Anolis sagrei: one gene and its partner. The protein of the gene in region 2 interacts with the protein of the main gene of each other region in a pairwise test. Links are inferred from orthologs where the notes say so. Each region holds a gene or a part of one and is shown on either strand. Other genes may lie near its edges.

What was found.
Region 1: the proteins of CERT1 (region 2) and CSNK1G2 interact in binary tests that used the Homo sapiens proteins (3 or more experiments, as listed by UniProt). The two-hybrid records come from large-scale screens. The link is inferred for Anolis sagrei from reciprocal best matches to the Homo sapiens genes CERT1 and CSNK1G2.

The regions. Positions count from the first base shown.
Region 1 is NC_090034.1:52,782,500-52,790,509, forward strand, and holds the start of CSNK1G2 (casein kinase I), read right to left. Parts: upstream 3,023-8,010; 5' UTR 2,850-3,022; intron 1-2,849. UniProt on the Homo sapiens protein: Serine/threonine-protein kinase. Casein kinases are operationally defined by their preferential utilization of acidic proteins such as caseins as substrates. It can phosphorylate a large number of proteins. Participates in Wnt signaling.
Region 2 is NC_090022.1:263,953,912-263,961,039, forward strand, and holds the start of CERT1 (ceramide transfer protein), read right to left. Parts: upstream 3,107-7,128; 5' UTR 2,705-3,106; coding exon 2,609-2,704; intron 1-2,608. UniProt on the Homo sapiens protein: Shelters ceramides and diacylglycerol lipids inside its START domain and mediates the intracellular trafficking of ceramides and diacylglycerol lipids in a non-vesicular manner.

The DNA.
Region 1 (8,010 bases), on a different chromosome or scaffold from region 2:
TTATATTGATTCTTCTCTTTGGGCAATGAACGAAAGGGAGGAGCAATCAAGCCATGTTTCTTCCTACTTTTTCCCCTTTATGTATGTTTCTATTTCTTTTTAGACCAGTTTAAGAACTTTTAATTTAAAAAATGGGGTGAAAAAAAGCAATAAATACATTTTCTTTCCAATAATATTAACAACAAATTTTATTTCTTTATTCCCTTTTCCTCTCTTCTACTCCTCTTCTTTCCTCTATCTGATCTATCTATCTGATCTATCTATAAAATTATATATATATGTGTGTGTGTGTGTTTGTATACACCGATACATTCCCTTTTGAAAGTAATTTGGAAAAAAAGCAATAAAGCCATTTTCTTACTATAAGAAGTAGAAAAAATGGGGAGAAAAAAGCAATAAATCATTTTTCTTTCCAATAATAATAATAATAATAATAATACATATTATTTGTTTATTCCCCTTTTCTCTCTTTTGCTCTTCTTAATTCCTATTTATTTATCTATAAAAACAAAACTGAAACTTAATAATTGGTATTCTTAAAAGCTAATCACAAAAGTGAAACTTCATCATTATTATTGATATATGTATCTTTAAAGTGAAACATTATTATTATTATTGCCACAGTGTTTGCCATTTCTCTTTTAAATAAATTAAAAACATTAGAGAGGTGTCTAATAGGGATATATTATTATTGTTACATTAAATAAATTAGAGAGATACGCATATATTAATATTATTAAATTACATATAATATGTATATGTTATTATTAAATTAAGTATAGGGAGATATTAATAATTATATATATATATATACATTAGAGATATATGTATATATCATTATCATATATATATATATATATATATATATAATTAAACAGATATATATTTTGTTATTAAATTAAATAAATGAGACATGTATATATTATTATTATTAAATATATACATATGTATAATTACGGTATATTATTGTATTAGAGAAATATATAATATGGATGTATTATTATTCTTAAATAAATTTGACAGATCAGTATCTATATTTTACTATTATTAAATTAAATATATTAGATATCTTATTATTATTATTAAATTTGAGAGATAATATGGAGACACACACACATATATATTATTAGATATGTGCAATTAACAATTGGAATGGCTGTGGACCACGATTTCAGATTATGTGATTTTTTAATGTTTATATTAAGATGTTTTAATTCTGTGTCTTAATGTTTAAATGCTGCTTATGTTTCATGGTTCAATGTGGTTTTAATTCATAGTATGTTACTGTTTGATTTTATGTTTTGGTTTTTCAGATGTATGTTTGGCATTGAATTTTGCAATGATTATGTTGGAAACCGCTTGAGTCCCCTCAGGGGTGAGAAAAGCAGTATATAAATACAGTAAATAAACAGATAGATACGATAGGTGTATATATATATATATATATATATATATATATAATAAATTAGAGATACATAATATGGATATATTATTATTACATTAGATATCTATATAAATAAAAATGTAATGTTCGTTTGTGGGATTAACAGAACTCAAAAACCACTGGACGAATTGACACCAAATTTGGACACAAGACACCTAACAACCCAATGTACGTCCTTCACTAAAAAAAAATAAATGATTTTGTCATTTGGGAGTTGCAGTTGCTAGGATTTATAGTTCACCTACAATCGAAAAGCATTCTGAACCCCACCAACGATGGAATTGAACCAAACTTGGCACACAGTTCTCCCATGACCAACAGAAAATACTGCAAGGGTTTGGTGGGCAGTGTTCTTGGGTTTTGGAGGTGTTGTTCACCTACATCCAGAGATCACTTTGGACTCAAACAATGATGGATCTGGACCAAACTCTACACGAATACTCAATATGCCCAAATGTGAACACTGGTGGAGTTTGGGGAAAATATAATCTTAACATTTGGGAGTTGTAGTTGCTGAGATTTATAGTTCACCTACAATCACAGAGCATTCTGAACCCCACCAACGATAGAATTGGACCAAACCTCCCACACAGAACCCTCATGTCGGCAACGCGTGGCAGGGGATGGCTAGTATATATATATACATTTTACTATTTTTATTATTAAGAGAGATAATATGATATATTATTAAATATTAAATTACATAAATGTGAGATTGATATATTATTAAATAAATTAAGAGACATAAAATGATACATTATTATTAAATTTTATATATATATATATAATTAGATAGAAAATGTATATTTTACTATTATTATTAAATAAAATAAATGAGATATAAACATATTTTTCTTCTTATATAAATTAGAGAGACATCTATATTTTACTATTATTATTAAATTACATAAACGAGAGACGGAGATATTATCCTTATTATTAGAGAGATATAATATTTACATTTTACTATTATTATTATTACATTATATTGGAGATATATAACATGGATATGGAATAGTAATGATTAAATTAAATTAGGGAGATATATAATATGGATATATGATTATTTTTATTCTTAAATAAATTAGACAATGTAATATTTATATTTATTATTATTATTATTAAATTACATACATGAGATTGATATATTATTAAATAAAGACATACATATATATATACACTATTAAATCAAATCATATATATATATATATATATATATTAGATATTATATATATATATATATATATATATATAAAACTATTATGAAGTTAAATAAGTGAGGCGTGTGCCTGTGGCGCAAGCCCCTCCAAAAGGTGCAAGGCCAACGGAGGCCCTGTGTTCCCCTCAGGAAAACGACGCCTTCCCTCAATTAGTCGCGCATTAGTCGCGCAATGGAGGGCTTTACCTCTCACGGGGCCCTTCGAGGCCGGCCTGCCTTCCTTCCTCGGGGCCCGGGCTCCTCAGCATGGGTGGGGGCTCGCCCTGTTGCCCCAAAGCCCCTCCATTGGCTGTTGTCTCTTTAAACCTCTTTCTGCCTTCTCCTCCCTGAGAGCGAGAGCGACGCCGCTACGTCAGCGGCGTAGCCTCGGAGTCGCCCTATAGCCGTGACGTCACGCCGCCGGCGCAACCTGCTTCCAGAATACCCGCCTCCGCGCTGACTGCGTGAGAGGCCCCTCTCTGGACGCAGGGCGCATGCGCGGAAAAGGACAGGCCCAAAGAGGCCGGAAAAAGCGGAGAGAACAAAGAGGAGAGGGCGAAATGGGAACTTTAATAAACGTCCGGTTCCCTTTGAGAATGCATAGGCATCATCCATTTGAGTGGAGAAAAAAGAGAAAAAATACAGTCTCCTCACTGCATAGTTACCCACTAAATGGTTCTTTTAAAATGTTGGACTCGACGCTGAGGAAGAAAGACGGAGTATAAATAAGAAATAAGACTGTACTGTCGAAGGCTTTCATGGCTGGAATCACTCAGTTCTTGTGGGTTTTTCCGGGCTATATGGCCATGTTCTAGAGGCATTTCTCCTGACGTTTCGCCTGCATCTACGGCAAGCATCCTCAGAGGTGAGGTCTGCTGGAGCTGGGAAAAAAGGGGTTTATATATCTGTGGAATGACCAGGGTGAGACAAAGGGCTTTTGTAAGTTGGGCTGGGTGTGAATCTTTCAACTGACCACCCTGATTAGCATACAATGGGCTGACTGTGCCTGGAGCAAACTCCTCTTGAAAGGTGATTAGATGTCCCTGCCTGTTTTTCTCTCTGCTGTTTTTGCTGTTGCAATTTTAGAGTTTTTTAATACTGGTAGCCAGATTTTGTTCATTTTCATGGTTTCTTCCTTTCTGTTGAAATTGTCCACCTGCTTGTGGATTTCAATGGCTTCTCTGTGTAGTCTGACATGGTGGTTGTTGGTGTGGTCCAGCATTTCTGTGTTCTCAGATAATATGCTGTGTCCAGGTTGGTTCATCAGGTGCTCTGCTATGGCTGACTTCTCTGGTTGGAGTAGTCTGCAGTGCCTTTCATGTTCCTTGATTCGTGTTTGGGCAATGCTGCGTTTGGTGGTCCCTATGTAGACTTGTCCACAGCTGCATGGTATACGGTAGACTCCTGCAGAAGTGAGAGGATCCCTCTTGTCCTTTGTTGAACGTAGCATTTGTTGGATTTTCTTGGTGGGTCTGTAGATTGTTTGTATGTTGTGTTTCCTCATCAGCTTCCCTATGCGGTCAGTGGTTCCCTTGATGTATGGCAAAAACACTTTTCCCTTGGGTGGATCTTCGTCTTTATTCTCATGGCTTGTTCTCAGTCTTGCAGCTCTTCTGATGTCTGAGGTGGAGTCTCCATTGGCCTGTACAGCCCAGTTGAGGTGGTTCAGTTCATCTTGGAGGAGGTGGGGTTTGCAGATTCTTTTTGCACGGTCTGCCAAGGCTTTAATGGTGCTTCTTTTTTGACTTGGGTGATGGTTGGAGTTTTTATGTAGATATCTATCTGTGTGTGTGGGTTTTCTGTAGACGGTGTGACCCAATTGTTGATCTGGTTTGTGGATGACTAGGACATCTAGAAAAGGCAGTCTTCCTTCCTTTTCTTTATCCATAGTGAACTGGATGTTTGGGTGGATGCTGTTAAGATGGTCCAGGAACCTGTTGAGTTCTTCTTCTCCATGGCTCCAAATGGTGAAAGTGTCATCCACATATCTGAACCATATAGTGGGCTTTTTGAAATAAGACTGTATACGTTGATTGGGAAGCTTTGCATTGGTTTCTTTTGGGAGACGCCTGCCACGCCAATGGAGGCTCCTAATGGGATCCGGAAGTAGTGGTTGTGCGCCGAAACCGGCTCTCTTTGGTTAGAGCGCGCTTTGAGAATCCGGCTGGCCTGAGTGGGAGGGGCGTAGAGGCGGCCTGAGTGGGAGGGGCGTAGAGGCGGGAGGGGCTTAGAGGCGGCGAGGGGAGGAGCTATCCGCTTTGCGACAGAAACCGCGCTTTACAGCTTGCCCTTTAACTCTTTCTCGTCCAGATGGTTTTCAAACCTAGAAGGAAGCTTTGGGAAGGAATATCTCTCCCTGCTTATATATGATATTTGAATATGTGCATACACACACAAACATAGTGATAGATAAATATATATTGGATATATGGGTGTGTGTATATATATACACACACATATACAAATATATATGTTTGTGTATATATATATATGTATATAAATTTCTCCAATATATATTTTTCTATCACTATATCTATGTAGGGGCCCCCGGTGGCGCAGTGGGTTAAAGCACTGAGCTGCTGAGCTTGTTGATCGAAAGGTCGCAGGTTCGATTCCGGGGAGCGGCGTGAACTTCCTCTGTCAGCCCTAGCTTCTGCCAACCTAGCAGTTTGAAAACATGCAAATGTGAGTAGATCAATAGGTACCGCTCCAGCGGGAAGGTAACGGCACTCCATGAGGTCATGCCGGCCACATGACCTTGGAGGTGTCTACGGACAACGCTGGCTCTCCGGCTTAGAAATGGAGATGAGCACCACACCCCAGAGTCAGACATGACTGGACTTAATGTCAGGGGACTACCTTTACCTTTTATATCTATGTATGTGTGTGTACATTGCATTGTAGGTCACTTTTGAAAGAGAAAAAAGGGCATGTGAATAAATATATGCTATTTACAGATGTGCCAAATGTTTCAATGCTTTATCGGTTATTGGTATTATGAAGCAGATCTATAAAAATAGCTTTGACTATAACGTATCTCAACACATAATAGTCACACCTTGTCAAAATGATAATAATAATAATAATAAAAACTTTATTTGTACCCCGCTACCATCTCCCAAGGGACTCGGTGCGGCTTACATGAGGCCGAGCCCAAAAACAACAAAAAGGGGTGCGACTATTATATGAAGAAAAAACTGCCTTTAGTCTCCGTTTCCTGTTGTTTAAATAAAGTGCTTTACTTCCAAAAGGGGAGGAGAAGAGGAGGAGGTCCAGTCTCAAACAAGCATTTTGGTTTCTGTTTGTTTGTTTGTTTAAACTGCGGAGCCATTTCAGGAAAAATTCCCCTTCCTTTCCCGAAGGCAAACAGTTTAAAAATGGAGGTTTCTGGAGCTCCACTCTTCTGTCCTCCCTCTGAGGCCTGAAGGCAGTTCAAAAAATCCTGAAATTGCTGTCCCTGGAACTCGGATCTTCATAGAATCGTAGAACCATAGAGTTGGAAGAGACCTCATGGGCCATCCAGTCCAACCCCTTGCTGCCAAGCAGGAAAATCACATTCAAAGCACCCCTGACAGATGACCATCCAGCCTCTGTTTAAAAGCCTCCAAAGAAGGAGCCTCCACCACACTCCGGGGCAGAGTTCCACTGCTGAACAGCTCTCACAATGAGGAAGTTCTTCCTAATGTTCAGGTGGAAGTTCTTCCTAATGTTCAGGCCTTTCCTGTAGTTTGAAACCATTGTTCTATTGTGTCCTAGTCTGCAGGGCAGCAGAAAACAAGCCTGCTCCCCCCTCCCTATGACTTCTCCTCACATATTTATACATGGCTACCATCATGTCTCCTCTCAGCCTTCTCTTCTGCAGGCTAAACATACCATACATTAGCCTCTCCTCATAGGGCTTGTTCTCCAGACCCTTAATCATTTGGTTGGCTTTCCTCTGGACACATTCCAGCTTAGAGTCAGCATCTCCCTTCAATTGTGGTGCCCAGAATTGGACACAGTGTGATTCCAGGTAAAGTGAACTGACTAAGACAGAAGAGAGGGGTAACATGACTTCTCTAGATTCCTATTGATGCAAGCCAAAATCCCATTGGCTTTTTAAGCTGCCGTATGACATTGCTGGCTCATGTTTCCCTTCCTGTCCAAGAGGACTCTTTTTCACACATACTGCTGTCGAGCTGAGCGTCTCCCATTCTGGATCTTTGACTTTAATTTTTTTCTGCCTAAGTGGAGTATCTTGCATTTGTCCCTGTTGAACTTCATTTTGTTAGTTTTGGCCATTCATCTCTCTAATCTGTCAAGATTGTTCTGTATACTGCTCCTGTCTTCTGGAGTATTGGCTCTCCCAATTTGGTGTCATTTGCAAACTTGATGATCATGCCTACTAACCCTTCATCTAAGTCATTAATCAAGATGCTGAACAGGACCAGGCTGAGGACGGAACCCTGCGGCACTCCACTTGTCACTTGTTTCCAGGATGAAGAGGAAGCTTTACATATATTTCATCACATAATAGTCACACCTTCTTACCAACAAAAAGGGGTGCAACTATTAAATGAAGGGAAAAATTGCCTTTATTTGCCATTTTCTGTTGTTGTTTAAACAAAATGCTTTACTTCCAAAAGGGGAGGAGGAGGTTAATTTCAGGATAACTTCCCCTTTCTTTCCCAAAAGCAAATAGTTTAAAACTATAAAATGGAGGTCTCTGGAGCTTCACTCTTCTCTCATCTCTCCGAGGCCTGAAGGCAATTAAAAAACCCCAAAACTGAGATCTCTGGAACCCCATTATGTGAGGAAGTATGGTAGATGCTTTAAAGGCAAACAAACTCACAATAAAGTCCCCATAATAGTGATACAGGCAGTCTCCAAGTCGTGAACAAGATAGGTTCTGTAGGTTTGTTCTTAAGTTGAATTTGTATGTAACTCGGATAAGGGATGCTTTTAAGTGGAACTCCAGCCAAGGTATTTATTGTTTTAGCTTTGAATAGCATAGGGAAGGGTGAACACCCATATTGTGTTTGCTTTGCTGTCTGTGTCCCTCTTTAGAAGATTTCCCCTCCCTTTCTGTGATAGTTCGATTTGGCTTGTTGTGGAAACAAGCATTGGTGAGAAAGCTTCAGTGGAGACACCTTTTCCCGATGATAATCTCTTTCAGAAGTGAACTTCCCTTCCAAGGGGTAGATTTCAATAACTTCCAGTTGTCTCAAGCCCTTTCTATATTAATAGACATAATAGTTGAAAGTGGTTTGGATAAAGACTGTCAGTGTTTGTCCATTTGTGGAGGAAAGAAACATACCTCCAGGTTAAAATGTTGTAAAGCAATGCTTTTGGCTTGCTGAGTATGACTGTCCCGTCTGGCATAAATCCG
Region 2 (7,128 bases):
TGTTTTGTTAGGAATTGTGGGAGCTGAAGTCCAAAACACCTGGAGGACCCTAGTTTGCCTACACCTGTCCTAAGAGCTGTTTTCGCCCCCTTTAAGGGGGGCTTCTCTATGATTCCTCCTTGTCCTGGGGCTGTTTTTCAGAGTGCCTCAGTTGTTAGAAATTGTGGAAGCTGAAGTCCAAAACACCTGAAGGGGCGAAGTTTGCCTATACCTCATCTACACTGTAGAATCAATCCTGTTTGTCAACACTTGAACCAACATGGAATCCATACTATGTGCAAAAACTTTATAAAAATATTATAGTACAATATAAAATAATATAATAATTGTATATTATATATTACATGTAACATTACTAATAATATTGCAGTTCAGTGGTATAGTACAATATAGTAATGTATAATACTAATATTGTGCTATGCTAATAATATTTCTTGTTTATTAGTTCAGTCACTTCCGACTCTTTGTGAACTCATATTGTAAAAGGTAAAGGTTTCACCTTGACATTAAGTCTAGTTGTGTAGGACTCTGGAGGTGGTGTTCATTTCTATTTCTAAGCTGAAGAGCTGGCACTGTATGCAGACCTATCCAAGGTCATGTGGCTGGCATGACTGCATGGAGTGCCATTACCTTCCTACTGAAGCGGTACCTATTGATCTACTCATATTTGCTAGGTTGGCAGAATCTGGGCCTAACAGCAGGAGTTCATTCTGCTTCACGGATTCAAACCGCCAGCCTTTCGGTCAGCAAGTTTGGCAGCTCAGCCATTTAACCTGTGTCACTGGGGGCTCCATAATATATTGTATAAACATACAATATTGATAATATTATAATGTAACACAATACAATACTAATCATAATACAATATAGTATATTATAATAACATTGAAATATAGTAATACTAATATACTAAATATAAGTATCATCATCCCTCCTCGCCTTTAGGAGAAGGGTGAAGACTTGGTTATGGGACCAGGCCTTTGGCCACTCCGGCAACTAAATCAGACAACCAGGCGAGTAAGACCAGCAGGATTGATGAAGTGGAACGTAAAAATAGATCTATGAGTAGCGAACGCTGACCATGTAAGAGGAGCAATTGGGTTTGTATTTGGTTTTATTGATTTTATGGTTATAATGTATATTTGTTGTTAACTGTGTATTGATGTAATTCTGTGTTTGATTGTCTTTATGATGCAGGCATCAAATTGTGCCTTTGCTTTTGTAAGCCGTCCTGAGTCCCCTTCGGGGTGAGAAGGGCGGGGTAAAAGAACCCCAAATAAATAAATAATAAATAAATAAATTACTACTGATAATATATAATGATATATTGTTTTATTATTGTATATTTTTAGTTGCAATGTTTTTGAGTCTCTGTATGGAGAGATAAAACGGGATATAAATAAATAAATTGTGGGGGTTGTAGTTTGTTGAGGCACTAGCACTATCATACAAAAAAGGGGGTAGTTAATGACGTGTAAAACTACAACTCCCTTGATTCCATCATGTGGCATTTCAAGTGGTGTCAAACTGAATTAAATCTAGACTTAATCTGTAGTACAAGGGGGGGGGGATAAAAATCTTGTAAAACTAAATAAATAAATTGTGGGAGTTGTAGTTTGTTGAGGCACTAGCAGTCTCTTACAAAAAAGGGGGGTTAACGACGTGTAAAACTACAACTCCCTTGATCCCATCATATGGCAATTCAAGTGGTGTCAAACTGGATTAAATCTGGACTTAATGTAGTAAGAGAGGGGAATAAAGATCTTGTAAAACTACAACTCCCTTGATTCTATCATATGGCAGTTCAAGTGGTGTCAAACTGAATTAAATCTGGACTTAATCTGCAGTACAAGGGGGGAGATAGAGGCCTTGTCAAACTACAACTCCCTTGATTCCATCATTTGGCATTTCAAGTGGTGTCAAACTGAATTAAATCTAGACTTAATCTGCAATTGGGGGGGGGGGGTTAAGGCTTTGTAAAACTACAACTCCCTTGATTACATCATTTGGCATTTCAAGTGGTGTCAAACTGAATTAAATCTAGACTTAATCTGCAATTGGGGGGGGGGGGGGGTTAAGGCTTTGTAAAACTACAACTCCCTTGATTACATCATATGGCATTTCAAGTGGTGTCAAACTGAATTAAATCTAGACTTAATCTGCAGGGGGGGGGGATAAAGGCCTTATAAAACTACAACTCCCTTGATTCCATTACATGACAGTTCAAGTGGTGTTGAACTGGATTAAAGCTAGACTTAATCTGCAGTACGGAGGGGGGGGGGGATAAAGGCCTTTTAAAACTACAACTCCCTTGATTCCATCATATGGTGTCAAACCGGATTAAATCTGCAGCGTGGACTTAATCCGCAGTATGGAGGGGATAGAGGCCGTATAATACTACAACTCCCTTGATTCCATCACATGGCAGTTCAAGTGGTGTCAAACTGGATTAAATCTGCAGCGTAGACGCGCCCTCTTTCGCAGCAGGACCTTCCTCCATTTCCTCTCCTCAGGTGAGGCGCCTCGACGGAGGGACACACCACAAACCTCTCATTCAGTCTGTTGCGGAAGGAAAACAGGCGCTTCTCCTCCTCCTCCTCCTTCTTACCTTACTGAGGACTCCGCAGAGTTCAACAGGCGGCCCAGACTCGGTCTCGGGATCCTCCTCGGAGCCTGAGGAATTCCAGCTTTGGTTGTCCGACATGGAGACGTCGTTGGCCGCCGCCAAAGAGCCGAGAGCGAGCGAAGCAGAGGCGGCGCTACCTGACCGACTGACACCTTCTTCTCCTTCTCCTTCTTCGAGGCCCCTTCCTTCCGCGGCCCCCTTTCGGCCACTGCCGGCAAGTGCAGCTTTCCCCCTCAGCGAGAGATTGTGGAGCCAACCATTCTCCTTCCTTCCTTTCCTTTCCTTCCTCTTCTTCCTCCTCAGAGAAGAACTGCTCCCTCCGTCGCCATCTTACTCGCCGAGCTCGCGCTATCGGCAGGCTAGACCACTCTCCGCCAAGCCCTTTCCGCGCTCGCTCCCTCCCCCTCCCACTCGGAGGGATTGCTGGGAAATGTAGTCCCTGGTTGGTTTCTTTTCCTCACTCCCTCCTCTCGTCGCTGTTCAATGCGCGGTGGCTTCTGGGAGGATTTGTGTGTGGGTGGTGAGGGGGCGGGGCCAAGCGGCGCGGGCGCAGACGGCCCAACTGTCACTCGGCTTGTGACGTAGCTCGAGGCGCGTTTCCTTTCACTTGCCTGTTGGGTTACTTCTTTCGCCCGGCCGCCATTTTGAATCGTGGAGGAGGAAGTGGTGGTGGTGATGGTGTTGGAGCCCTCTAAGGAGACTTGAGGTGTGTGGACGTTGAGGGAGCTTCGGGGCCCTTCTTCTGCCTCCTTTTTCTCAGGAAGGAGTGGCTCCTCGGTTTCTCCTCACTGTTAGGCCCGTATCTTGCTCCTCTTTGGTGGTACTGAGGGTGCAGCTACACCAGGCCTGGGCCTTCCTTCCAGGTGTTTTGGACTTCCAACTCTCACCATTCCTAACAGCCTCAGATCCCTTCCTTTTCCTCCCTCAGCCGCTTAAGCTATATAATATTTATTTATCGTGTCAGGAGCAACCCCCCCCCCCCCCCCAAAACCAGTTGTATTGCATTTTTTAACAAACAGACAAAACACAAAGTTTGCAAGCTTGGTAGTTGATTAAATGTCTTTTGACCAGTCTGTGCCCTACACCCCTGGAGAAATTACACTGTTTAGCTGGTATTGCACCACCTGACATACGCCGGGAAGTAGCAGCCAATAGTGAAAGGACCAAGGCAGAGACATCTCCAGCTCATCTGTTGTTTGGGTATCAGCCAGCACGTCAACAACTTAAATCAAGAAATCGTTTTCTAAGATCTACAGAGACACTCGCTGGAACACCTCAGCAAGCGAGAGTCCAAAAGTGGCAGGCTCAAACCCCAGAACCTCAATCAATGGCTGATATCAAATGAGAGACTCCCCCCGGAGCGGCAAGCATGTAGCGGGGGGCGAGGGGGCTTGGGGGGCTTCAGCCCCCCCCCCCCCCGAAATTCTCTTGGTGGTTCGTGAAAAGGCCTTACCGGTGCATTATTTAAACTGTTACGTTTATTCATATCATGATCTGATCACCATACTCAATATATCCCATATGCATGGGGGTATTGGGGTAACGATACAAAAGTTTTGCTAGGGTAGACTCTCTTTCACTCGAATTCAGCCCCCCCCCGAAACAAACTCAGCCCCCCCCCCCCGAATCCAAATCCTGGCTACGGGCCTGCTGAGCGCATAGAAAACTAGGCGACTTGGAAGGCGCTGAACAGACTGCGTTCTGGCACCACGAGATGCAGAGCCAACCTTAAGAAATGGGGCAACAAAGTGGAATCCACGACATGCGAGTGTGGAGAAGAGCAAACCACAGACCACCTGCTGCAACGCAACTTGGGCCACGCCACATGCACAATGGAGGACCTTCTTGCAGCAACACAATTATCTGGTTGATACTGACACGATAAATAAATAAAATACCAGTAACTGGCCACTTGGAGTGTCTCTGGTGTTACTATAAGAAGGTCCTCCATTGTGCATGTAGCAGGGCTCAGGTTGCATTACAGCAGGTAACAATATAGTACAGTTGTGCTGTGCTAATAAAATATTGTATACACATATAATATTGATAATATAATGTAATACAATATAATAATAATACAAAATAATAATGTTTTATATTATATGTAATATTAATATTATTACATATAGTGGTATACTGTGTGTTGTTCATTCGTTCAGTCGTCTCCGACTCTTCATGACCTCATGGACCAGCCTACGCCAGAGCTCCCTGTCGGCCGTTACCACCCCCAGCTCCCTCAAGGTCAGTCCAGTCTCTTCAAGGATGCCATCCATCCATCTTGCCCTTGGTCGGCCCCTCTTCCTTTTGCCTTCCACTTTCCCCAGCATAATTGTCTTCTCTAGGCTTTCCTGTCTCCTCATGATGTGGCCAAAGTACTTCAACTTTGTCTCTAGTATCTTTCCCTCCAGTGAGCAGTCGGGCTTTATTTCCTGGAGGATGGACTGGTTGGATCTTCTCGCAGTCCAAGGCACTCTCAGCACTTTCCTCCAACACCACAGCTCAAAAGCATCGATCTTCCTTCGCTCAGCCTTCCCTAAGGTCCAGCTCTCACATCCGTAGGTGACTACAGGGAATACCATGGCTTTGACTAGGCGGATCTTTGTTGCCAGTCTGATGTCTCTACTCTTCACTATTTTATCGAGACTGGACATTGCTCTCCTCCCAAGAAGTAAGCGTCTTCTGATTTCCTGGCTACAGTCTGCATCTGCAGTAATCTTTGCACCTAGAAATACAAAGTCTGTCACGGCCTCCACGGTTTCTCCCTCTATTTTCCAGTTGTCAATCATTCTTGTTGCCATAATCTTGGTTTTTTTGACGTTTAGCTGCAACCCGGCTTTTGCGCTTTCTTCTTTCACCTTGATTAGAAGGCTCCTCAGCTCCTCCTCGCTTTCGGCCATCAGAGTGGTGTCATCTGCATATCTGAGGTTGTTAATGTTTCTTCCAGCAATTTTCACCCCAGCTTTGCATTCATCCAGCCCCGCACATCGCATGATGTGTTCTGCATACAAGTTAAAAAGGTTGGGTGAGAGGATGCAGCCTTGCCGTACGCCATTCCCAATCTTGAACCAGTCTGTTGTTCCGTGGTCAGTCCTGACTGTTGCTACATGGTATACTGTAATATTGTTAATATATTATATACACATATTTATTTATTTACCATATTTATATACCGCCTTTCTCAGCCCGGAGGCGACTCAGGCCAGTTCACAGTCGGCAACAATTCAATACCTCCACAATTATAAAAGTAAAATTAAAAACAAATATAAATACAATTAAAAACTTATAGCATATAATATAAAACCATACAAAGCCATAGAAACATAGTCAACAGCATCTCCTTACTAAAATCGTTATCCAGATTGCATTGTCAAGTCCCATAATTTCATCTTTACCTGATTATGTTATGTTAGCAAAAACTTGCTCGAAAAGCCAGGTTTTAACCTTTTTATGGAATGTCAGAAGGAAGGAGCCAATCATATATCCGTGGGAAGGGCATTCCACCGCCAAGGGGGCACCACTGAGAAGGCCAGCCTCTCGTTCCAGCCAAACACATCAGTGAAGGAGGCAGGACCTAGAGCAAGGCCTCCCCAGAAGATCTTAGAGTCCTAAATAGTTCATAAGGAGAGATATGTATGGAAAGGTAATAATGTAATGTAATACAATATAATACAATACAATATAATTATATACTTTATAATACATGTAATATTCCTAATAATATTACAGTATAGTAGTATAGTACAATATAGTAATATATAATACTAATATTGTGCTGTGCTAATAATATATTGTATACACATATAATATTGATAATATTATAATGTTATACAATATAATAATAATACAATATAATATTTTATACTTTATATTACATGTAATATAAAGCATAGTACAATATAGTAATACATAATACTAATATTGTGCTATGCTAATAATATAATACATTGTAAGCTGCTCTGAGTCCCCTTCGGGGTGAGAAGAGCAAGATATAAATGTCGTAAATAAATATAATACTATAATAATTTAGTACAGTATAGTATGTAATAATATTGTACAATGTAATATATAATAATGTAGTAATTGTATATTATATATTGCACATAATATTACTAGTAATATTGCAGTAAAGCGGCTGAGGGGGCAAAGAAAAGGAGCCTGAGGCAGTTAGGAATGGTGGGAGTTGGAAGTCCAAAACACCTGGAGGGCCCAAGTTGGCCCAGGCCTGGTGTAGATGTACCCTGAGTGTTCTTTTCTTTTTGGATAGTAACTTGTTATAATCTATGAAATCCAATAGGCTTTCTGGTGGTTCATGATATGCAAACCTTGTTTCGTGCAGAACATGATCGAATCTATTGTGTATGAAATTCAGGCTATATATAAAGACCTCTAAGTGAACTTTGTGTCTGGATTTGAGTCCCATCTCCAAGATGTATATGTAATAATAATAAAGCTGTGTTTATATCCCACTCTATCTCCTCGAGGACTCGGAGGTTTACAAAGGA